3 linked regions of the Alligator mississippiensis genome follow. The protein of the gene in region 2 purifies or fractionates together with the protein of the main gene of each other region. This does not show direct contact. Links are inferred from orthologs where the notes say so. Each region holds a gene or a part of one and is shown on either strand. Other genes may lie near its edges.

Region 1 (7,865 bases), on a different chromosome or scaffold from region 2:
TCCGCACTGACAGATGCCTTGAGTGCAGGGGGGGGTCCCCCCCTTCTCTTTGAGAGCAGCCGACTTATTTAGGATGCTCGCTAAAAGCAGCACTAGGGAAACCGGCGTCGATAAAAACACCTTCAAGGTGGTTTTTAAAAGGGGAACATCGTTTAAAGCATCCAAGAGAAAGCAGCGCAAATTCACAGGGCTCTGCACTGACAAATGCCTTGGGGGTGGGGGGTTTTCCCCCGCTTCTCTTTCAACTCAAGAGTAATTAAAGAACCTTCCTGGTCCCACCACCAAAATCTCAGCTGCAGCTGCTGCGTGCTTGTCATTTGCTGTCTCTTCTGCAATCTGCTGCTGCTCTTATGCTTTGGGGGGGGGAGCACGTTTGGCAAGAGAAGAGCTCCAGGGAGCTGTCTTGCTGGCTGCGTCTAGACGCTATGAACAAGATCGGGGTTTGCAGACCTAGCGGTTACAGTCGGATGCGAGAGGAACTGGCCTGCTGAGCTGCCTTCCTGCTTGCCACAGGTACAGACCCTGGGAAGGCAGAGGAAGAACAGTCTCTTCTGGGGAGCGCGGCTCCCCTTTTCCCATCGGCAGTCACCTCCTCCCTCTCCTGCCCAAGACGCCAGCCCCAGCCTCCCCCTGGTCGCTCCTCCCAAAGCTTTTCACGTGTGCTGGGCGACCTGAGCGCAGGGGGCCTGGACCCGATGATCTCGAGAGGTCCCTTCCAGCCCCTAACTTCGACGAGTCTACGTCAGCTCCCCAGTCCCGCTTGGCATCAAGGGGCTCCAGTGAAAAACATCACGATCCTCAAGGGACAAAGCCACCGCAATGAGGAATAAGAAACGCTAAAACCTTGGCTGAGAGGTGATACCTTTTATTAGACTGACCAGAAAAGAGCCAAAAATTACCCTTCTTGGCCAGCTTTTGGGCTTGCAAAGACAGGTAATTTCTTTGCAAGGGGAAATTCAAGACGGTAACAGGTAATTTCTTGAGGGGAAATGAAAGATGGTCAAAGTCCCTTAAGGTAGAAAATAAACTTCATTTTGCACAAAGGAAGCTGAAGGTGGATGGATGTCTGTAGTTTATTTTCTACCCAAGGGGACTTTGACCATCTTTCAATCCCCCTCAGCCCAAAGAAGGCTGCATGTGCCCAACAGCTGGCAAACGAAGGTCACTTTCTGGCTCTTTTCCAGTCAGTCTAATGAAAGGTATCGCCTCCGAACCATGAGTTTTAGCATTTTGTGTTCCTTGTTGTACAGCCATGTTGGTCTGAGATAACAGATCCCTCGTCACTGCAACTGCACGCACTCCCCTCGCCCTCCGGCAAGGCCGCTGCCCTTCCACCCAGCGGCTGAGACAGGACTAAATCCACCGGCCCGCCAGCTTTCCCCTCCCCCTGGGGAGAACCGCATGACTTAGCCATGGAGGTTGTTTACTATCTCTGGTCTCCCCACCGCCACCGCCACCGCCGCGCACGTCGGCTTCCCCCTTCGGGCCGGGGAAACGACGGGGGGGCGTTTGCTACGGGACAGCTCGCGCCCGTGACTGCGTCAGGCCTGTCGGGAGCGGAGGTATTTCTGCAGTGATAAATCTCGCCGTCAGTCCTCGCCGTTCATCTCCTCTTTCCGTCCTAGTCATCACCCCCCCACGCGCCTCGATGAATATCAGCTCCCCGCTATCTGCGAGCAATCACACGGCCCTGCCCAGCGCACGCTGTGCCGAGCGGCGTCTCCCCGACCCTGCCCCCCAAATCCAACCTCCCCCACCCACCGCCTCGGACCTCCCTGTGGAAGCGCAGGCCCCAGACCCGAAGGCAGCGCCGCCACCCTGGGGCCCTGCCGAGTCGGCCTCACGTTTGCACACGTTTGCACTCGCTGCCCGAGCTCGGGGCTGATCTGCGGCCGCGCCACGGTCTCCCTCGGCCGGAGCCGGTCTCCCATTTAGCAGGCAGGCGCCCAACTGGCTGCCCGCACCCCGGGGGTTTGCTGCCAGCCATCGTTACCCCGAGTCTCGAGCTCCGCGGGGGCCACAAAACGTTTGCTCTAATAGCAACGAGGCCAGGCCCCCGCACGCGCTGCAGCTAAAGCTTCCTCTTTGGGCCAGTCCTGCCCTCCTCGCTCGGGGGCGGGGGGGGGGTCTCAGCCCCTCCAGGCCCCCCCAGCTGAGCCGAGCGCTGTGACACCGTGCCCCCCCTGCCAGGCTGGGGAGGGAGCTGGTCACCCCAAGGCAAGGTCAGAGGCTGCAGGTGGAGGGGGGGGGGGTCTGTCCCCTGCCCCCCCCCACGAGGCTGCATGGAGCAATGCCCCTCCCCCCCCACAACACACCCAGCTTCCCAGCCTGCCCCCGAGCAATCCCCGGACCCAGTCCCTGCACCCCCCCAGCCCCCTGCGACCCCCCCCTTGCCACCCTCCCAGCTTGAGCCCCCCCATCCCCACAACACCCCCCCACCAGGCCTGGGCCTCTGGGACCCCCCCACGAAGATCCCAGACCTCCAGCTAGGCCCCACCCCCTTTTCTACTAGGCCCCTCCCCCACATCATGTCTCAAGCTGCCCCCCCCCATCTTCCTCACCCCAAAGACAGCCCCCCCCACCGCAGGTCTAGGGCTGGGCCCGAGTGCCCCCAATGCCCCCCCCAAACTTAAGCCCCGCCCCTCCGTCTAAACACCGCCCCCCCAGCATCTCCTCAGCCCCCCCATTTTACCCCCCAAAACCTGCTAAACCTGCTAGGTCCCCCCCAGCCCCCCTGCAACTAAGCCCCACCCCCAAACCCAGCCCCCCCATCTCACCACCCCACCCCCACTGCATACCCCTCAGCCCCCCTATTTGGCCCCCCTAGGCCACACCCTCCGCCGCTAGGCCCCGCCCCTCGCGCTAGGCCCCACCCCCCGCCCGCACTCACCCGAAGAGCCCCGCGAAGAAGGACTGGGAGCCGCGGACCTTCTTGTCGGCCTCGGCCAGCAGCTGCAGCGCCTCCTTCTCCTTCCCGGCCGGGTCCATGATGGCGGCGGCGCGGGAGCGGGATCGGGCCGGGCCGCGACACTCAACGCCGGCGAGAGGGGGCGGGGCCGTGCACGTCACTACCCGGAAGGGGCGGGACGAACTCTGCGGAAGAGGGAGGGAAGAGGGGTTGTGTCACGTGACCAAGCAGGGAAAGGGGCGGGAGTGATGCGAGGCGTCACGTGATGGGAGCACGCTGTATTGCCGGCACGTGGTCGGGGAAACCCCGCCCCCTCCTCCCTCACGTGACGCGGAAGTGAGTCGGCGCGTCTGGAGACAGTCACGTGATGTCCACGGGGGGGGGGGCGTGCAAGGCTATAGGCGCTCGGGGGCGGGGAATAGATATAAAGTATACTTTTTAAAACAAATGTATACTTTATTATAATTTTTAAACATGGTTTATCAAGTCCTATATTTCGTCTTATATTTTTATAACATCTCAATTCGACATTTTAAAAGTTTTTTTATATTTTTATTTTGTACTTTTATTTTTACTGTTATCTATATAGAGTAAAAATAAAAAATAACAAAATAAAATATATCTAGATACTGTCTCTAGATATATTTAGATACAATATAGATATATTGTATATCTATATATAGATACATATCAATATATCTGTATCTATCCATATGTATCTATATCTAGATAGCTAGATATCTGCATAGAGATAGATATCTATATGGACAGATAGTTATAGATATAGCCCTGTATCTATATAGGTTTAGATAAAGTATGGCAGTACTGCCAAGGAGGCCCCAACAGCAGCTCCTATAGGGCGGATGCCCCTCTATCCAGCAGGGGAGCCTTAGGTACCTATAGAGTAAAAGCCCCTAGAAGGGTCCCTATATGGGGCAGAGCTGGGGGAGAAGTCCCGAGGCTCCTATGGAACGAAGGCCCCGTGCGGTAGGGGGGTCCCTGAGCCCCTGCCTGGAAAAGCCCCTCTATAGGTCCCTCTACGTGGCAGGGTTGAGGAGGGACTCAGGCTCCTATGGAACTACACCCCTACACCGCGAGGGTATCCTTGGGCTCCTGTCTGGGAAAGCCCCCATAGGGGTTCCTATATGGGGCACGGTGGGGGGGGGATCCTTAGGCTCCTATGGAACTAAGCCCCTACCCACCGAGGCTCCTGTCTGGAAAAGCCCCTATAAAGGCCCCTATATGAGGCAGGAGCGAAGAGGGAATCCTTAGCGTCTGCTGGAACTAAACACCTGTACAGTATGGGTATCCTTGGGCTCCTCTCTGGAAAAGCCCCTATAGGGGGTCCCTATACAGGGCAGGGTTGGCTTCGGCTCCTACCCTTATACAGCAAGGCTCCTATCCAGAACAGCTGCTATACAGGGCCGTATGCAAGGGGAGAGGACGTTCGGCTTCTAGGCAAGGAAGTCCCTATAGGGGCTTCCCCTATAAGAGCAAATACCCTCAAGGCACCAAACCCCTATGGACAGCCCTGGCAGCTTGCAAATTCCAATGTTAAATTGCCTTCGTTAGGACTAACGGGGGTTACGTGCAGACATGATAAGGCAGCATCCGTTGCTTTTCCCGAACAGCAGCCCCCGGAAAACAGCGCCGGCTCACGTCCGCGCCCAATTAGCGTATGACAACACCCTCGCCACCGGCATGTGCACAAGCGCGTGACACGGCCTAAAGGAGGGGCCGGGTCGTTCTGCAGTTGGGCCACGCGTGGGCTCGTCCCCTCCAAGGGCAATTAAAGCGTGGAATGAGGACGTCCAGCGGTCTTCTAACAAGATTGCAGACACCTGTATTACGATACGCCTCGGTCGGTTTTCAGCAGGGCCAGGGTGATGGGCGTCTTCCAAGATGGAAACCGTGTGTTATCCAAGAGCGTCCGAGCAGCCGTGAACGGGGTCGGACCCTAGGCGAGTCCTGCCCGGTCTCCTGCGCCCCGTGGCGGCAGACAGCGGAGCTGGAAGGGCGAGCGACTGGCTCTGAGCGTTGGGGTAGATGTGATCTCTTTTATTAGACCAACTACATATAATAATAAATAATTTGGGGGTCGACTCAATGATCTATTGAGGTCCCTTCCGACCCTAACATCTATGAATCTATAAAAGAGATCACATCTCCCCACAACCCTTGCCTGCCTATGTCCTTAGACCAACAACCCCAAAGCATGGGTCTGAGCAGGGCTCTTCCCCCCGTCCCTCTCCCACTTGCGGCCACTTTATGTCACGTGTACAAGCGCCGCTGAAGGTTGAGGATATTCTGCTCTGGAGGCCGTGCCCCACACTCCCGCGCTCCCGCTGACCCTTTCCTCCAAAAACGGGTCCAATCCCTTCATGGATCAGGATGAACTCTCTACTTCCGCTGCACCTGGTAGCCACGAGCTCCCCCCTTTCATTTGTCCTGGGTGGAAAAACCAACTACCTATTCGTTTCCTATTGTGACCCCTCGGTTTTTGCCTGGTAAATAAGCCTGAAGAAGGGTGTTTGTAACCTGAAAGCTTGCAACAAATCATTTTTCCAACTATTTTAACTGGTCTAATAAACAATACTGGATTTCCCCCCCCCCCCCCCAAGAACCTTGTCGGCCTTAGCAGAAGCGCTTCTAACGAATCGGCAACAGCTGCTAAACGGCTGCTGTCGACAATCTCGCACAGGACACGACTGGTGAAAGTCGATAATAAATTCCCATCAACTTTCTCTTTCCCATTTAATATTTTATTGCCTCCCTTCAAGCATCTCTTCTCTAAACTGACCAGGCCTGGCCTCGGCCGTCTCTCCTCCTAGGCAAGCCCCTCTGTAGCACTGACCATCCTTGTTGCCCTTGTCTGGACCTTCTCGAGTTCTTCTCTATCCTTTTGCAGGTGCGGGGACCGGAACTGGGCGCCGTGTTCAAGGTGTGGACGCACCATGGCTTCGTAAAGGGGCGTCATCATGCTTTCATTACCATCCTGCATCTCCATAGATACTTCCGCTATCAGGTTTAGCATGATCCTGCTTTCCCTGGTGCTTCCCGCTCCCTTCCGGGGACACTTCTGAGCTGCCTAGGGGACCGACCTGCGTGTGGTCCCCGACCATTAAGGGTGGGGTAGGCGGGCACTTGCTGGCAGGCGACCACGGTCTGGGGCAAGTTGTCCCACATGGCCTGACTGGCTTCCGCATCAAACCCATGCTTCCAGAGGCACTTCCATGCTGCCCGGGGGACCGACCTGCATGTAGTCCCCGACCTGAGGAGGGGGGTAGGCAGACACTTGGCAGTAGCAGACCCCGGTCTGCAGCCGGTTCTCCCACCTGTCCCTGGCGTCAAACCCACAAGGCATTTTGATATGGGCTGGGGCAGTGGTAGCACTGCCACTGGAGGCTTCGCATCCTCTGCAGAGAAGGGGCTGCTCGGTAACAAGACAAGTCCTCTCTAGCCTTTTGCAAACGACCATTCTTCCTGAGTTAAAATACTTCTGCTGCCACAGTAGATTTTTCACTCAGTAGATCATAAAAACACAGACAAGGAGGGCTGGAAGGGACCTCCGGAGGTCACATCTAGTCCAACCTCCTGCTCAAAGCGGAACCAGCCCCAACTACATCATCCTGCACAAGCCTACCTAGGTCTTAAAAACCTCCAAGTACGGAGACTCCCCCCACCCCTCTGGGTAGCCTGTTCCTGTTACTACTCTCCTTATGAGAAAGTTTTTCCTAATAACCAACCTCAACTTCCCCTTGCTGCAGCTTGCGCCCATTGCTCCTTGTTCAGTCATCCGCCCCCACTAAGAACAGCCCGGCTCCAGATGTCACGGTGCGTGACAGCAGCAGCTTCCCCATTTGAGGGATGTAGAAGCAGTGGCTATAGCTAGATGCAGCTACTAAGGGAACCTAAGAAATCCTGACTTCTACACACCGAGCTGCTGCAAACTCCACCGCTAGATATTTCAACCCGAGTTGCATATTCCCTATGTTTGTTAGTGAGGGTCAAATCCCCGGCTTCACGGAGGCGTAGCTTTAAAGGTCAATTTTGTCACCTCTCTACTAACATGAGTCGAGCCTGTTCCAGTGCTTTACTATCCCCTCCTCGTGAGAAAGTTTTTCTTAACATCCAACCTCAACTTCCCTTGCTGCAACGCGACACCATTGCTCCTTGTCCTGTCGCCACTGCGAACAGTCCAGCTCCAGTCAAGAGGATTTTATCTTTTTATTGAGTCCAATCCCATGCGTTTCAACAAAGGATCCAAGACGGTCCGGCTCGGTCTGCAGACTTCAGGAGATGCAGAAGCCACCGCTTCCAATGATGAATCATCTTTACTGTTATAAAAAAACCAAGAGCACGCCCTATTAACCAAGCACCCACAGCCAGAATTTGTCCTTCAGCAACAAAACAGATCGTGATTAATCAGACCGTCTCCGCACTCAGCTTTGTTATAAATGCAAACGGCGCGGCCCTCCCTGTCTGCCAGCAAGCACACACTCGCTGCACACGTTGCATCGGGGCTCTGACAGGCATCCAGCCTCCTCCGTTTCAGATCAGCTCCCTTTCCATCCTGGCTTGAACTTTTGAGAGGAGCCCTAAATGAATTACTTCCAGATGAAAGGTTAGATATATCCCATTTTACGGCACAGAGCTGAGACTGCAAACAACCCAGCAGCTCGTATCATGCCCATGGTAACAAAGGAGTGAGTATGAGATGACCTATGCCTGTTTTCTTCTTCATCTGGCTAAACTTCATTTCAATCCGTGCACTCCTATATGTGTGTGTGTGTATATATATATATATATATATATATATATATGCATGTGTATATATACATATATGTGTGTGTGTGTGTGTGTACACACACACATCTATCTATCGATAGATAGATACACACGTATTGTCGGAAGTTTGCAGGGTTTTAAAGCAGGGAAGGTTGAAACAGCAATCCTT
Region 2 (7,764 bases):
CCTTTCAAATATTTCAGAGATATTCAGACAACTGAATGAAAATCTAATCAGCTTTTGCCTTCTTCACCTCTATACAAAAGAGTAAGTAGTAGTAAAACAAATGTTTACTAAGAGATCTGAGTTTTGCTCTCATCCAGTTCATCTGGCAGCAAACCTTTTGGATCCTCAACACAGAGGACAGCATTTATCTAAAAATGAATTATCTACTGCTCTCGATACAATTATGGAAGTAGCAAAGAATGCCCCCAACATCAACGAAATGGCAATGTCTGTCATCATGGCTAAGTACCGTGCAAAAGAAAAACTTTGGAGCAAAAACATCACTTGGCAGGCAGCAGAGAATACATCTCCTATCACATGGTGGAAGGGATACTGTAACACTAGACTGCTGTCCACCATTGCTCTAAGGATCCTAACCATTCCACCAACAGCAGCTTTTTGTGAACGGAACTGGAAGGCTTTTGCTCAATCAAGACAAAAAAAGAGGAATACACTAACAAACGAATGCACTGCTAAGCTTGTTTCTATTTCTCAAAATCTTCTGCTTCTGCAGAATCAGTCAGAAGCACAATTAGTGAAGAAGACGTAGCGTGAGAAGTCATCCTTGCCCATAGACTCATTGGTAAAACCACCCTTTAGAAAAAGAAATGTGGTTCAAGTAGTTCTGAAACAGATTTGCCTCAATAAGTAGTGTAAGTAGTGCAAGTGATTCTACAGATAGTGAGAATGAAACTGGAGGAGTCACAATTACCTCAGTGGAAGAGAATTAAACTCTGCTGAAGTAGATGAATGGACAACTACGGCATATCCTGCACAGTTCTTTGGGTGTGCTAAAATTAGTGCGTCAACAGTTTTCAGTGCCTTTGTTTGTTTAAATTTAAGAAAAAAAATGATGTAAGGGAAATCCATGCTATTGTGTATTGTCTTTACATGTTTACAAGTATTCCAATAAAAATAATCTCTTTCCACATAAAGCTTTGAATTTGTTTGAATATAACATTTAAACCACATTAAGTGTGCTGAATTTATTTGTTTTCCTAATCAAATATTTCAGTTCAAATACTTGTGGCTATTGGGACATAAAATTAACATGGGGGTACTTTTTTAGTTCTGTTTACTAAATACAAGTCAAATAAACATGCTAAAATCAGACCATGATCTATTTAGGCATTGGAAAATTTTCCATTTCAAAATTTTCTGAAAAACCCACATCTCTGGATTCTGCCCTGCTAGAATCCAATAAATGCCAGATTTTAGAGATTTGGTGAGCTCATGAATAGATGCAATTTTTTTTTTTTTTTTTTACACTTTACTTCATAAATGAGCAACCATAGGGGTTTGAGAATGAGAGTCTTTGTGTTATGGTGTACATTATTCCCCACAAAATCACCATGATCTTATGTGTTCAACATCTGGCATCCTGTCTATTAGCTACCCATTCAGGCAGCTGCTCCCCTTTCCCATTCCAGAGAGAGAATCTGGAATTTCTGCTTGTGACGTTACAAATTAGGTTCACCATTAAGCATTTTCTTCCATAATGGACTGCCTGTTCCTACAGTCAAAGAAGGCAGCTGCTACTTGCTACAGGAGAGATCAAAGAGCTGTTTAAAAAGAGCACCCACAGAGCTTACAAGCCAAATGGGACAGATAACACAGTTTAGAAATATCACTGGTCTCAAAATAATATGAAGTCTAGCTGCATTGCTTTGTGCACTGGGGTAGTACTGAAAGCCGCATAGGGAAAGCACACTCAAAGGAGAGATGCAAGTAGAGACAGATGGCATGACACGAAAGAAAGGCAGCTCCAAGTCAAAAAGGTCAGGAAAGGCAAAGAAGATAACATGAAAACAAGGGGAAAAAAGAACCATAGAAGTAGGGCTGGAAGAACTCTCAGGAGGTCTGGTCAACCCCCCGATCAAGGTATGATCGTCCTTATTTAACCTATCCTACAAAAGTGTCTGTGTAAACTGTGCTTAAAAACTGCATAAACAACTACACACAAAACCCCCAAGAACACCCTAAGTGGCCACAGTGGGGCACTGACAATTTCCTGCCACTGCACGGGCAGGCCTATTCGTTGTGCACCGGGAGCTGTGGACCTGGCCCAAGCAGAAACAGTGGCCCCTCTAACAGCAGAACTACTTGTTCGTCTCTAAAAGAAAACATGGGCCTAGCCCACCAGGTTGCTCATCGGCCTCCCTGAGGTGGGGAGGCCACAAGAAAGGTGACAACAGAATGGAACAGGTGGAACAAAGAATGAAAAAAACAGAGACAGGAGTTCAGGTGAGAGATTCATATTAAGTGTGTCCAGTGGGGACACCGAGCACAGCGCACCGGACAGTGCCCACTGGCCCTCAAGGAGCCAGTGGACGCTGCTCAGGGGTACTCTGGGGAACGGATGAGGGAAAGGAGACGGGCCCTCCCAGCCACAGCCTCCTTCCTGGTCAAGCACGTGGCCAGCTTGGGCAGGAGGAGGTTGACCAGGAGGTCCTGGGACTGGGTGGGGCCACAGACAGAGAGTGCCTAAATAAAAAGGTGCGGGGAACCTCAATAAGAGGCTGGGCCAGGTGGGCGTGCACCAGGGTCCCTGTCAGCACACAAAGGGGGCAGGCAACAGAGGCATCCACGAAACATGATGGTGGCGTGCGGATGGCAGTGGAGCACCCCCCTAACGGACAGGCTAATGAAAGGGAACAAGAGCGCTGGGGACACGGACACGCTGCAAAACCAGGAAACCACCGTAATGACGAACACCGGAGACACCCAAGGAGGAGGACCGCGCCCCCCTCGCACAACTGCCCGATCTGACCCGGGGCCGGCTCCTCCCTGGCCCCACCTGCGCGGGGCGGCCCGGGCCTGAGGGGTGGGGCGGACCCTGAGGCCAGGAAGCCCGGGGGGGGGGGCACTCACTGCATTGCGCGATGCGCTGCACGTTGGCGCTGCAGGTCTGGATGATGCCGCCGAAGTCGCGGGGCGGCCCCGGCGCGGGGCGGGGGGCGCGCGGGCCCGACATGGCGGCGCCGGACGAGCTGCGGCCGCGGGATCAATCGGGCCGGAGCCGGGACAGCGCCGCGGTGCCACGCGCATGCGCCGTGAGGGAAGCCAACCCGGCTGGGCCCCGCCCCCGCCGCCAACGCCTACGCGCCGGAAGCGGCGGGGACCATGGCAACGAGGGACGCGCGGCGCCGCGCACGTGTTCTCTTGCGCTCCGGCCCCGCGCGGCGCCTCGGCCTCATCTCCCGCCACTGACCCCGCGTCCACAATCGCGATGGTGTCAGTACTGCACTGCATTGCCTGTCCTGATTACGTGACTGTCAGCTCGACTGCCACCGCTGCTTTCGCTCCTTTAAATCATACATTTCTATCTGCACTAGCCTCAAACTCATCTGAAATGGCATGGTAGCTGTGGAGGCCAAGCTCAGTGTCTGTCGCTGGGACAAGGCTCCGCGGAATCGCACAAGCCTGTTACAGGCCGAGCGAGGAGGGGGCGGGTGCAGGCCCCGATTCTGCAAACACGTCGGCGGCTGCAGCTCCGGGCACGTGAATAGCCTTGACTGACTTCAATCGAAAACTAGTCACTCGATCACACAGTTTCTAATGTGGTGAATCAGGGTCCCGGTTTTCTCTGTTTAAACGCCCGAAATTATCCGATTACAACCCACGCATCACTGTTTTTTCGTGATTAAAATGAAAGGCCGCTATGTATACACAGGTATCAGCTGAACGCAATGTTTTATTGATGTATTTGCAATTTTAAAGCAATTTGGAAGCTTACCTTCATCATCATAATACAATGACTTTTAAATATCTATACACTTTAGCATTTGCTTCTGGTTTTCTTTTTTTTATCATGGAAAATCAGAGCTCTCCCTGCCCCCTTCGCTCGCCGGGATGTGGGTCCAGCTGCAGCTGTTCCTTCCCCCCTCTCTCCCCTGCCGCTGCTTTGTGGCACTGAGCAGCCCTGATATGCTGGTGCCCCTCACTCCCAGCCCACAGCCTCCTGGCCCCATCAGTGCTCCTCACCCCCAAACCACAGCCCCTGAATCCCCCCAGCCCCACTGCTGCCTCTCCCAACTTGCTACCCCCCGGTGGGGGTGTGTGTGTGTAGGACAGGGTGGGATGCCTGACCATAGGCAATGTCATAGGCAACTTGTTAGAGGGGTAAGGGGGGCAGCATGTCCCCTCCTAGATTTGTGTGCCCACAGCGGGGCTTGGGGCTGCAGCCTGGCCAGACTGGCACAGGCAGGAGCTGCCAGCACGTAAGGGCAGAGCAGGACAGTGAGGCTTATTGCTGCTGCCACCAGGACTGCCGCACGGCCAGCAGTGCAAGGAGTAACAGATCAGAGGTGGGGTGGGGAGTGGGAGTGCTGCCCTCACCTCCTCCTGCCGCCACCTGCTCATGCGCTGGGCCATCGCTCTACCCCACTGCCATGGTCCAGCTGCCACTACCACTCCCCTCAGGTTGCCTGTGCTGCCCCTCTCCCCATGTCCCCTCCTGGATAGAGCAGTGGCCCAGCACAGGAGTGGCTGGTGGCAGGAGGATGTCAGGGCAATGCAGTCCCAACCACACATTACTCCTCACACTGCTGGCAGCATGGCTGGTGGAGGGTTTGTGGCGGCAGCAGCAGCAGCAATGAGTCTTGCTGTCCTGTTCCACACTCCCACGCTGGGTCCCACCCGCTGGGCCATGGAGGCAACTCCTGCCCATGCCAGTTCAACCAGGTTGTAGTCCTGTGCCTGCTGTGGGTACACAAATCTTAGGGGGCACATGCCCCACCCGGCTGGCACATCACCTATGTGTCCCTGCCCCCTCACACCTTGCCTATGCCCCCCCCCATTGACTTAGCTGTGGGAGCTGATCGCTACCACGATGCCTGGCTGCCATGTCCATGTGTCTGCATGCACTTGCATGTGGCATCCCCTTCCTGTGTTTGCCCTTCTCCTGCTCCCCTCACCCCAAGCAGCCCCTTGCAAGGGGAAACCCACTGTTTCCCATGTTTTTCTCCTTTAAAGGAGAAAATCCTTCTTTTTCCACAGTAAATAGAAAACACAGATTCCTGATGATAGTCATGAAAAACTGTTCAGATTTACATGACATGAACAGAGAGCTAGACGCAAGACTTAGAATCAAAGAAAGTTAGCATTGGAAGGGACCTCAGGAGGTCACATCTAGTCCAACCCCATGCTCAAAGCAGGACTGTCCGTAACTAGATCATTCCAGCCATGGCTTTGTCTAGATGAGTCTTGAAAACCTCAAAGGATGGAGGTTGCACCACCTCTCTGGGTAACCTGCTCCAGTGTTTTACTACCCTCCTAGTGAGAAAATTCTTCCTAATATCTAACCTAAACTTCCGCTGCTGCAACTTGAGACCATTGCTCCTTGTTCTGTCATCTGTCATCCCTGAGAACAGTACAGCTCCACCCTCTGTTGAACCTCACTTCAGGTAGGTGAAGGCTGCTATTAAATCCCCTCTCAGTCTTCTCCTCTCTAGACTAAATGTGAAATTTTTTATATGCATAAGCCAAGTGTGTATTTAGGCACCAGCACTTAGTGATTTCAGACTTTGGAGCATAAGCCTTCTTGACTTCAAACTGCAAACCCTGATGTATTAGTCTAATCTTGGGAAAGCATTTAAACTTCTTTGATTTGTGCAAGTTCAGTATATCAAAACTGGTGTGGGTTGCAAATGTAGCCAGGGCTACCTGCTTACCAATTTTGGTGTGTTTACACAGTAAAGATGTTGGTGGAGCCCCAAACTCACCTATATCATTGAACTATGAAAATCTTAGTAGGAAAAAATCAAATTCTATTAATTAATGAATACAGGTTTCTCTCGTGTTATGCAGGTTCTGTATGTGCAAATTCGCACTTATGCGATAACCCTTTTTATACCAAATATTTGTTATATGTGAAGTAAATTCACTCTCATGCGATCAGTGTGATGGAAGCTCGCAGTCGACTACTTTGTGCATTGCACTGTGGGAGTGATGTGCACCAAAATAAAGTCTAGGTGCATCCGTGATCCTCACTCATTGTCTGTGACACGTGTTTCTGTAGTTGCCATCCCCATTATGATAGTGCCCTGTGCTTGTGTACTGTCTGCTGTTGAGGAGTACCAAAATTTTCTTGTAAAAATGGTAGAAATGGGTCTGGGGGTCAGTACAGTCAAGGTCTTGGAACGTATCCCTATTTGCTACATTGTAAAGTGGGTTCCTTTTATGCGAATTCTAGTTATGTGCCATTTTCCAGAAATGCATGTACAGCATAAAGCAAGGGAAACCTGTACAATTAACTTTCTCAGTAATTTAAGACATAAAATGGTAAGAGTGTACATAACAACATAAAAATAAACTGATTATTTAATGGAGCCTGCCGGCCTGCGCTGTTCAGGGACTGGTGCTTCCCTCCATGGCAGCAGTGCCCCCTGGGACCACCTGGGCTGGGTGGCAGTGGGTGGGTGCTGCCTGGTGGATGCCACCACCGCAGAGGGAAGCACCTGGGTCCCCCACAACTCAGGGATCACTCAGCCCACCGGCAGCTCACCCCCCCGCCCAACTGTGGGGGAGACAGGTAAGCTCCAGCACCCCGTGCACCGTCTTTGCCTCTTGGGAGCACCCAGGAATGGATGGCTTGCCCCGGAGCAGAGCGGAAAGGAGGCAGGAGGGTGGTTGGGTATGCTGGTGGCAGCAGAAGGAGGCGGGGATAGTGCATGGGGTGTTGGAAGTCCACCAAGTCTGAGCTTCCCCGATCACGGTGGTTTCCAGTGCCCCATGCACCGTTGCACTTTGTTAGGTAGCAAACTAAAACACCTCGGAGGTATTTTACCTTGCTAAGTAACTAAGTCATGTAAAGCGGAATATGCCACCGAACATGTAAATAGGAATGCCATTAAAACAGAATACGCTGCCAAACATGTAAATAGCAACACCATTAATGGCACAAATGGGCATTTTGCTGCTTTAAAGGACAATTTTATTGCATGTACAAAGGCCCAATGATTTTCTTTACCCTGGAATTCAGTTTACTTATCTTTCTCTAGTTATAAGTATCAGGCCAGATTCTATTCCACTTTTTTGGTGTCTAAGTGAATTTAGGTTCCTAAGTGCAATTCTGTTCCATCCTCTTTGAATCCCTAACAATCTATTAATGCAGGGGTGCTCAACCCCCAGCCCCTGCTGTCATGTCATCTGCCTCATGGAGCTCCTCACAGGACCAGAAATTTGGCAATGGAGAGTGGTGGCACTGCTATCCTGCTGCCAAATTTCCAGTCCCAAGGGGAGCCCCAGGCTCTTCATGCTGGATTGGGCATCCAATCCCAGTGTGCAGGTCCAGACACAAGTGGTGCTAGGCCCCAAGGCCTAATCCTGGCACATGGGAGTGCTGGTGGTCCAATTCTGGCACAGGGGCAGGAGGGGATGGTGCTGCACCCCAGGGCCCATTCCTGGCAAGTGGGGGCATGAGGGGGTGGTGCTACCCCCCAGGGCCCAATCCCAGCATTCAGGGCATGGAGAGGGCAGTACAGAGTCCCAGGGCCCAATCCTGGTGTGCGGGGCTTGAACTAGGCTTGCAGACTGTCCCCATGCTATTCATCTGACCTATAGGGCCAAAAGCTTGGGCACCACTGCATTAATGTAGCTACTTCTATAACACACCATTATCTGACCCTTAACTTAAGTAATAAAAAAGTAGCAAGTAGAAGGAGGACCCATCTCCTTTTGCATTAGCAGTTCTTCTACTCAAGCAGGGTGGAATAGAACCACAGA
Region 3 (8,014 bases), on a different chromosome or scaffold from region 2:
TAGGTCTTAGAAGGTAAAGACAGAGAATTTGAACTTTGCAGCACTTCCCCCCTAACCTTAGGCTTTTGATTACAAGTCAGCTGGAATGACTACTTCCATTCTCTCACTTGTCAGGAGAAAGTCTTTCCTCTCACCTCCTCTACTTTCAGTAAAGGCAAATAACTTAATATTTCTAAGTGCTGGTTAAACTTCTAACGGGTCTTTCACAGTCAGGAAAATCAAAGATAAATCTTATCTGCATAGTTATATCTATGAATTGTATACCTAGCCTATAGGCAAACTTATAGCCATTAGGCACCAGAAATGTAGATATAGCCATGCTCTACAAGACCCAAATCAAAGCTTCCTGAATGAAGATCTGAACCTACTAATTCAGGCTCCAAGTAAGCTCTCCAACTAGATAGGTGTTAAGACACACAAAGGCAACAAACTCCCAGCCCAAGATAAGGCAGAAAGGAGTAAGACCAGCCTTTACCATCTTCCTCTCCTCCAGGAGGGCCCTGCAGAATGGGGGGGGGGAAATCAGTGTATTAAACAAGTTGGTAGCCTGTACAGTCAAAGCAGAAATGCAAGAATCAGCAAGTAAGCAGAATTACTGCTTTCTGCAATAGCTGAAAGTTTCCCAGCAGTCTTTGAAAAAAGACCAAGGTGAACAGAAGTAATTCAGGAGGCAAGGAAAGCAACAAGAAATTGTGGGAGACAATGCCTTCTACAACACAGGCTGTCACCCTTACACAGAGTACATAGCCTGGAATGTATCCTTTGGACACAATAAAAATAAGCAGGAGCACTCTAAAAGGCTTGGGTTACAAGGAGCTACAACCCAAGTGTTGAAAAGTTTAGTTCTTGTCCTAGCAAAGGTAAAGGACCACTACAAAGAGAACATGACCATTATTAATTACTCGCATACCAAGAGGAGCACATTTGTCTTCTATAAGTAAGAAGATCCTGGCCAGAATTTTGACAGAGGAAGAAGAAATAACAGATGTAACAGTAGAGAGTACTGGGGAAAGTACTCTATGAACTCTCCTGAGGTCAAGAAAAAAAGTTTTCTCCAGCACTAATCAACATATGGTATGTTGCCATACGAGCAGTTAGCCAATCAGATCCAGGCCTTGTTCAAGAGGCTCTTTGAGCAACATTTGCAACAAAATTTAAAAGTGGCAACTTAAACCCAAAAGTGATCCAATGGTTCCTTTTAACTCTTCAATTTCTTAATTCCTTTACTCATTTTAAAATTATTCCACTTGTAAATCAAAGAGCTTCTACTTGCTAGATAGGCTAGAATTACACTATTAAAGAGCAACTGCTGTACTTCTAACACATGAAGACTTCTTTCTCAGTTTTTCCTCTTTAAAAAAATGTGACTATTGAAGGTCTCATTAACCAGGTGAATGTCTGCCCCTGATTTTGTAGCCTATTTAAACCTATAGCTTAAATGATATCAACTGACATCCAGTTCAAAAGGTTAACTAAACAGGTCAGTTTCATTCTCAGGCACCAACAGTCTTGGTGAGATCCAGCTGCTTAACTGCAAACCAAAGAGTTTTCCAAGGAACTGTGTATTAAATGTCACCAAAATATTGTTACTGCTCTGTTAAAAAACCCAAGTCTTGATTTCATGAGACAAGAACATAGGAGTTGCTATTTATTAGATCAGACCATGGGTCCATCTTACCAAGTCCCCATCTCACACAGTGGCAGGGTGTTGAAGCTGAAAGGGAGAGCAAACTGTGTCTGACCAGGGTTTGTTTCTTCACTGCCGCTCTCACTTGCAGCCTCCAGCACTTAAGGTCCAGGAAGTTCCAATTCAGGGGCTGTAGCCCTCCCTCTTAAGCTCCATAGCTACTGGTGGCCTTTTCCTCCAACAATTTGTCCAATGCCTTTTTGAACCTAGCTAAACTTGCAGTTTCCACAACATCTGGTGGCAATGAGCTCCACACTTTAATGCCACACTGTGTGAAAAAGAACCTCCCTTTGTTAGTCTTAAATTTACTACCTACTAAATTTATTTTGTGACCCCTTGTTCTTGTATTGAGAGTACATAATAAATACCCATTTACTTTCTCCTCACCATTTAGTGTTTTGTAAACCCTTATGTCCTTCTACAAGCATCTCTTATCAACTGAATAGTCTCTCCTCATACAGAAGCCGCTCCGTGCTGCTCATCACCCTTGTTGCCCTTCTCCAGGCCTTCTCTAGTTCTTTATATAGAGTTTGAGGCGAGGGGACCAGAATTGGGCACAGTAGTCAAGGTGTGGACACACTGGGGATTTATGAAGTGGCAGGAAGATATTTCTGGTTTTGTTTACAATCCTGTTCTTAACAATCCCCAATATAAGATTAAGGATTATAAAGCACAGGTAAGAATTTACAAGACATTTGCGGAAGGGAGAGAACCCTCTGCTGACAACACCCCCCCCCCCCCAAAACCCTGCTGCTCGCTAGCTAGCTCGCTCCCCACCACAGCAGGCCTTCGCTTGGCTTCTCCAACTCCTCCAACATAAAAGCCCACGTGCCCAATCACAAGCTCACCGATTTCCACAGCCCTCTGGTTTTTGCTTCCAGCAACCCAAATGCTAATGCGGGAACATGTTGCTCAATGCAGGTGCCTGGCTACAACACGGAGTCTCTTCTAGCAGTTGTGAAATTGGGGGGAGGGTAGAGGACGGCGTTACCCAATTACCTCGGGCTCCAGCATCAGCCGACACCACGGCCCCCCGCACTTCCGTCTCACCTTCCCCTTCCCAAGCCCACTCCACTTGTCCCAGCAGCTGCTTCCCGGGGCCCGCCAGGCAGCCCCTCCCGCCGCCCAACAGCGACACTGCGCAAGCAACTGACCGCGGGGGGGGAGGGGAGGGCAGCACCCGAGGGGCCGAGGAGCGCCGCGCCGCTAGCACAGGACGATGCCGCCCCCGCCCGGGGCTAACACTTCCCCCACCCACGCAGGGCCAGGCTCACCCGGGCCGGCCAGCGGCGACGTAAGGGCTGCAGCAGGAGCCCCCGCCCGGCGCGCTGTTTATCTGCTCCCGCCCCTTCGCCGCGGCGCTCGCTCCTCCCGGCCGGCACGTGCACTTCCGCCAGGGGCGCTCCCGACGCCGCGGGGGCTCCCGGGAAATGTAGTTCGGGAGGGGGCGGGAGAGCGGGACGGCTTCCGCGCTCGCCGCGCTGCCTGCTGGGAAGCGGCCCCCGTGTGGGCCGCCGCGCTGCCTGCTGGGAAGGGTAGTTCAGGTGGCGGGAGGGGCCGAGCGCCCCCTGCCGGCCGGGGCAGGCCGCACGCACGACCTCACACACGAGCCACGTGAAATGCAGCCGCGAAGGCGCGGTGGTGGCGGGAGCCGAGGCGGTCGGGCCCGGGCGTTCCGGGAGCGCCTCTGCTGCGCGCCCTGTGGCAGAGCCCGTGGTCTCCGGGCAGGATCTGGGCTGGGCTGACCCGGGTGCTCGGCCTGTGGGCGCGGCGCAAGCGGCTCCAGCGCCGACGGCGGCTGGCAGTACGGGCCCCTTGCTGCCCCTGTGCTGTCAGATCTAGGCCCCGGGTTGTGGGAACAGGGCCCCAATTGCCTCCAGCCCCCCCCGTGCCTGGATCGGTGCCGGGCTCCCCTGCGCCCCGGCTGCAGCCCAGGCGGCTCGCCAAAGAGCCAGGAGGTTGGCAGCAGGCGAGCCACTTCCAGTGCCGCTTCCCCCGGCTCCCGCACTTGCGCCTCACGGCCCAGCCCAATCGGAAACTGAGCAGCGGGCGCGGGACTGGGCGAGGCGCCGGCGCCGTCCCGGGCCAGAAGACGGAAGGCCCTTCGCGCTCCCCCACAGCGACCGCGGCGGATCCCGCGACTCCGGGAGCTGGGGCTTCCCCGAGACCGCAGGCCCCGGTCCGGACTACAGCTCCCAGCGGCCCCGGCGCCGGAGGGGTCGGCCCGGGCAGGCGCCCGCCCCGCACGCCGCAGCCATGGCCGAGGAGGTGGAGAGGAAGCCGGTGCTGGAGACGGTGAGTGCGGGCAGCCGCTGCCCCCGGCGCGGGGCGGAGCCGCCGCGCGGAGCGGGACCCGCTGTGCTCCGGGGCCGGGACCGGAGCGCGGGTGTCTGCGCGCCGCCGCCGCGCCACGTGCTCGCCTCCCCGGGGTTGTAACCACCGCGGCGGGGGGGGGCGGTGTTTTGTCGCATCTCCAAGGGGTTGGTTTCGCGCTGGTTCTGGTTCTCTCTTTGAATGAGAGGGGGGCGGGGCCAGGAGCTGGAGCTAGACAAGCAACGGGGAATTGGAAACGCGCGCCCCCGACAGCGCTGCTCGCCTGTTTGCACCTGCAGCTGTAGCCAGCAAGCGGCCTGGCCCAGGGAGGAGCCCGGCTGGGTTAATTTTCCTAAAGGGTCTGAGCACAGTTGCATCAGGTTTGAGGCTCATAAGGTCTTTTTGCAACTATGAGATGACTTACTGTTCTTCTAGTATCTGTCATCTCCATGAACTTTTTTTATGAATAAGGGGATCTTTTTAATGCAAGTTAAGCATTCCCAACATTGCTAATTAAGGTGTGGAAAATCTAGCCCTCAATCTAACCTGTGCTTTGGAACTGGAGTGAGCAAGAGGGCGGAGGGGCAGAGACTAGCTATAGAGCCGCAGGGGAGTTGCACATCTGCTCCTAATCTCTCGCCTGTTGTCATTTTGGAGACAGCGGGTGCATCTACATGAGACACTAACAGCCCAACAGCCTAATAATACTGTGCGGTAGCCCATTGCAGCACAAACAGTGCCAGTACACTACTGCCCAGTATTATTAGGCTACTGCACAGTAATGTCACTAAAAAGGTGTTCGCTGGAGCTACTGTTACTGCGCATTTATTTAGTACTTGATTGTTTACCCATCCTCTTGCAAAATATGAAACATCATAACCAGAAGGAAATAATTCATAGAGGTGCATTGATACATTGTTCCAATATCAGATCTGTACTGATATAAAAAAAATTGACTGTCGGAAATCGGCTTTTTTGCCTGATGTGGCGGCGCAGCAGGTGGGTGGTGAGGAGCGCAGCCTGGCAGCTTGCAGAGCTGCATCCAGCTGGTAAGTGGAGCTATGGCTTGTCTGAGGTGGGGCAGAGGCTCCCATCCCTATGCACATCCCAGGAGGGCACGGGTGGGATGTGTGCCCCCCAGATCTGCATGGGAGGGGTGGGCTGTCACTGCAGCGTGGGATCAGGGCTGCCTTGGGCTTTTCCTGGCAGGGGCTGGGTCAGACTGCTAACCGCACAGGGTGGGCAGTGGCGCTGGGTTTGGGCTACGGTGAATTTTGGGGTGGCTGCAGCCCCCACCCCATAACCCCTCTCCCAGTGCTGCTGCCGCCCACCCCAAGCACAGCACAGCTCAGCCCCTGCTGGGAAGAGCCTGGCGCAGCCCCTGCTCCAGCTCTCAGTGGCAGCCCCCTCCTTCCCATGCAGATGTGGGGCGACATGCCCCCCTGAGTCCTCCTGGGGTGCTGTCAGCAGCGGGAGCCCCCCCTCCCTGCACCCCCCAAACAAGCCATGGTTCCATCTTGTGTCCCACTCTGCCTTGGCTGGGCAACATCTGCCCCAGCCCCACTCCCTCCCTCCCTCCCCCTCCCTCCCTCACTACAGGGGCCTCGATCTGCCCCTGCCATGCCCCTTCCCTTCCACCTCCCCTTCCATCACAACAGACTTACCAGCCAGACACTGCTCTTTGCTGCTGGGCTGCGTATCAGAAATCGGATCGTATCGGATGATATGCATCTTTAAGCATCATTTGTTGGTATCAGCCCCAAAAAATCTCTCTTGGATGCACCTCTTTAACATACCACTTACTATCAGACAACTTCAAGGTAAATAGACTGCTCAAACTTTTTATCTGAGCTAAATTTGCACAAAATGAACTTTGCCAACCAGGAGATCTTATACCAGGGGTGGGCAATTATTTCAGGTGGAGGGCTGCTTACTGAGTTTTGGCAAGCCATCAAAGGCCGCATGACAGGGAGCAAGGGGCAGATAAATATTAATTTTCTAAATTTTTTAGGGGCCCGATGGGCAGGATAGAATGGCCTGGTGGGCTGGCCCACAGGCCATATTTTGCCCGCCCCTGTGACTTATACCTTCAACTGTCCTGTGAAATATGAATTTGCATTTCTGCCTAGGAGAAATTTTACCATCTTTGCATTTTCCTATGCCTGAAGAAGTGTGTGTGTACCCAAACGCTTGTGAATAAAGAATTTTTTTTGCAAATATCTTGTTGGTCTAATAAGGTATAACCTCTACCCAGAGTTCTGATTCCAGTAACCTAAATCCAGTTGAAACATCCTCTCTTGGAAAAATGTCTACTGGAGCTGAAAGTGGTATGAAAATTATGTAGCTAACTTTAATTGATCCAGCTCAGCAGTGGTGCAGTTAAATGGTTAATGTATGCTTCTAAAAATGCATTACACATGTGTATGGGGGGAAATTGCATTCCTTTGCAGCAGTGAATTACTTGGAGGTCAGTGCATCCCTGCATGTAAGGGAAGAATTTTTTTTTTCTCTGGGATTTGCAGAAGCATTGGGGGGCCATCCAGACCCACATTCAGGTTCATAGTCTACCAGTGGAAGTTGAGGGTGTTATCTGTCTACATCTGTCTCAGGGTAGTAGCTGTTTGCTAAAAGAAAATAATCTGTTAACTGTTTCCCCTCTGCTTAGTGGCAAGGTGTGGTAATAGCTCTGTACTGTATGCATTACCAAGAGAGAGCTGCAGATCTAGTCATCTTGCACCTAGTGTAATTTACAGAAATGTATAAAACCAACACCTATTCTACCAGGGATTGTTTTTGTGTTTGCTTGCCCATCCCCTGTAATAAGCTGTTTGTCAAGAGGTGTGAAAGTATGATTCAGAGTTAGGATTTCTTTTCTCCTCTTTAGAAACAAGAATAACTTTGTCCAGTGTTTATCTGCACCACAGCCTGTGATGCCAGTTTGTTCTGGTAACATCTTTTATGATGCTAAATAATATTGCTGACAAGTTAATAAGGTAGATTTGATTTAACTCAAATCGATTTTAAAGTGTCATTTAAATAACAATTTAAATCACTGGTCAGGAAGCCTCGATTTAATCATTGTTTTCTACAAAAAGTGCATCCTTGTTTGCAACCTTAATGCATATAATTCATAGATGTTAGGGTCGGAAGGGACCTCAATAAATCGACGAGTCCGACCCCCTGCATAGGCAGGAAAGAGTGCTGGGTCTAGAAGACCCCAGCTAGATGCTTATCTAACTTCCTCTTGAAGACCCCCAGGGTAGGCAGTGGGGTCCCGCAGGGCTCGGTCCTTGGACCGATACTCTTTAATGTCTTCATCAGCGACTTGGATGAGGGAGTGAAATGTATTCTGTCCAAGTTTGCAGATGACACAAAGCTATGGGGAGAAGTAGACACACCGGAGGGCAGGGAACAGCTGCAAGCAGACCTGGACAGGTTGGACAAGTGGGCAGAAAACAACAGGATGCAGTTCAACAAGGAGAAATGCAAAGTGCTGTACCTAGGGAGGAAAAATGTCCAGTATACCTACAGCCTAGGGAATGACCTGCTGGGTGGCACGGAAGTGGAAAGGGATCTTGGAGTCCTAGTGGACTCCAAGATGAACATGAGTCGGCAGTGTGATGAAGCCATCAGAAAAGCCAATGGCACTTTATCGTGCATCAGCAGATGCATGACGAATAGGTCCAGGGAGGTGATACTTCCCCTCTATCGGGCGCTGGTCAGACCGCAGTTGGAGTACTGCACGCAATTCTGGGCACTGCATTTCAAGAGGGATGCCGATAACCTGGAGAGGGTCCAGAGAAGGGCCACTCGTATGGTTAAGGGCCTGCAGACCAAGCCCTACGAGGAGAGACTAGAGAACCTGGACCTTTTCAGCCTCCGCAAGAGAAGGTTGAGAGGCGACCTTGTGGCTGCCTATAAGTTCATCACGGGGGCACAGAAGGGAATTGGTGATTGTTTATTCACCAAGGGGCCCCCGGGGCTTACAAGAAATAATGGCCACAAGCTAGCAGA

What was found. Proteins that work in one complex are often made in the same cells at the same time.
Region 1: the proteins of STX12 (region 2) and NAPA purify together in Homo sapiens (affinity purification with mass spectrometry; 4 studies listed by BioGRID and IntAct, counting the BioPlex papers as one, with this or other methods). This does not show direct contact. The link is inferred for Alligator mississippiensis from reciprocal best matches to the Homo sapiens genes STX12 and NAPA.
Region 3: the proteins of STX12 (region 2) and VAMP7 purify together in Homo sapiens (affinity purification with mass spectrometry; 3 studies listed by BioGRID and IntAct, counting the BioPlex papers as one, with this or other methods). This does not show direct contact. The link is inferred for Alligator mississippiensis from reciprocal best matches to the Homo sapiens genes STX12 and VAMP7.

The regions. Positions count from the first base shown.
Region 1 is NC_081838.1:1,790,971-1,798,835, reverse strand, and holds the start of NAPA (alpha-soluble NSF attachment protein), read right to left. Parts: upstream 3,079-7,865; 5' UTR 2,989-3,078; coding exon 2,891-2,988; intron 1-2,890. UniProt on the Homo sapiens protein: Required for vesicular transport between the endoplasmic reticulum and the Golgi apparatus. Together with GNA12 promotes CDH5 localization to plasma membrane.
Region 2 is NC_081829.1:16,711,437-16,719,200, reverse strand, and holds the start of STX12 (syntaxin-12), read right to left. Parts: upstream 3,072-7,764; 5' UTR 3,014-3,071; coding exon 2,911-3,013; intron 975-2,910; exon of another isoform or gene 1-974. UniProt on the Homo sapiens protein: SNARE promoting fusion of transport vesicles with target membranes. Together with SNARE STX6, promotes movement of vesicles from endosomes to the cell membrane, and may therefore function in the endocytic recycling pathway.
Region 3 is NC_081831.1:35,659,372-35,667,385, forward strand, and holds the start of VAMP7 (vesicle-associated membrane protein 7), read right to left. Parts: upstream 3,079-8,014; 5' UTR 2,962-3,078; intron 2,707-2,961; exon of another isoform or gene 2,687-2,706; intron 2,636-2,686; exon of another isoform or gene 2,536-2,635; intron 1-2,535. Other genes in the region: DNA-directed RNA polymerases I and III subunit RPAC2, read left to right, coding at 3,944-3,982. UniProt on the Homo sapiens protein: Involved in the targeting and/or fusion of transport vesicles to their target membrane during transport of proteins from the early endosome to the lysosome. Required for heterotypic fusion of late endosomes with lysosomes and homotypic lysosomal fusion.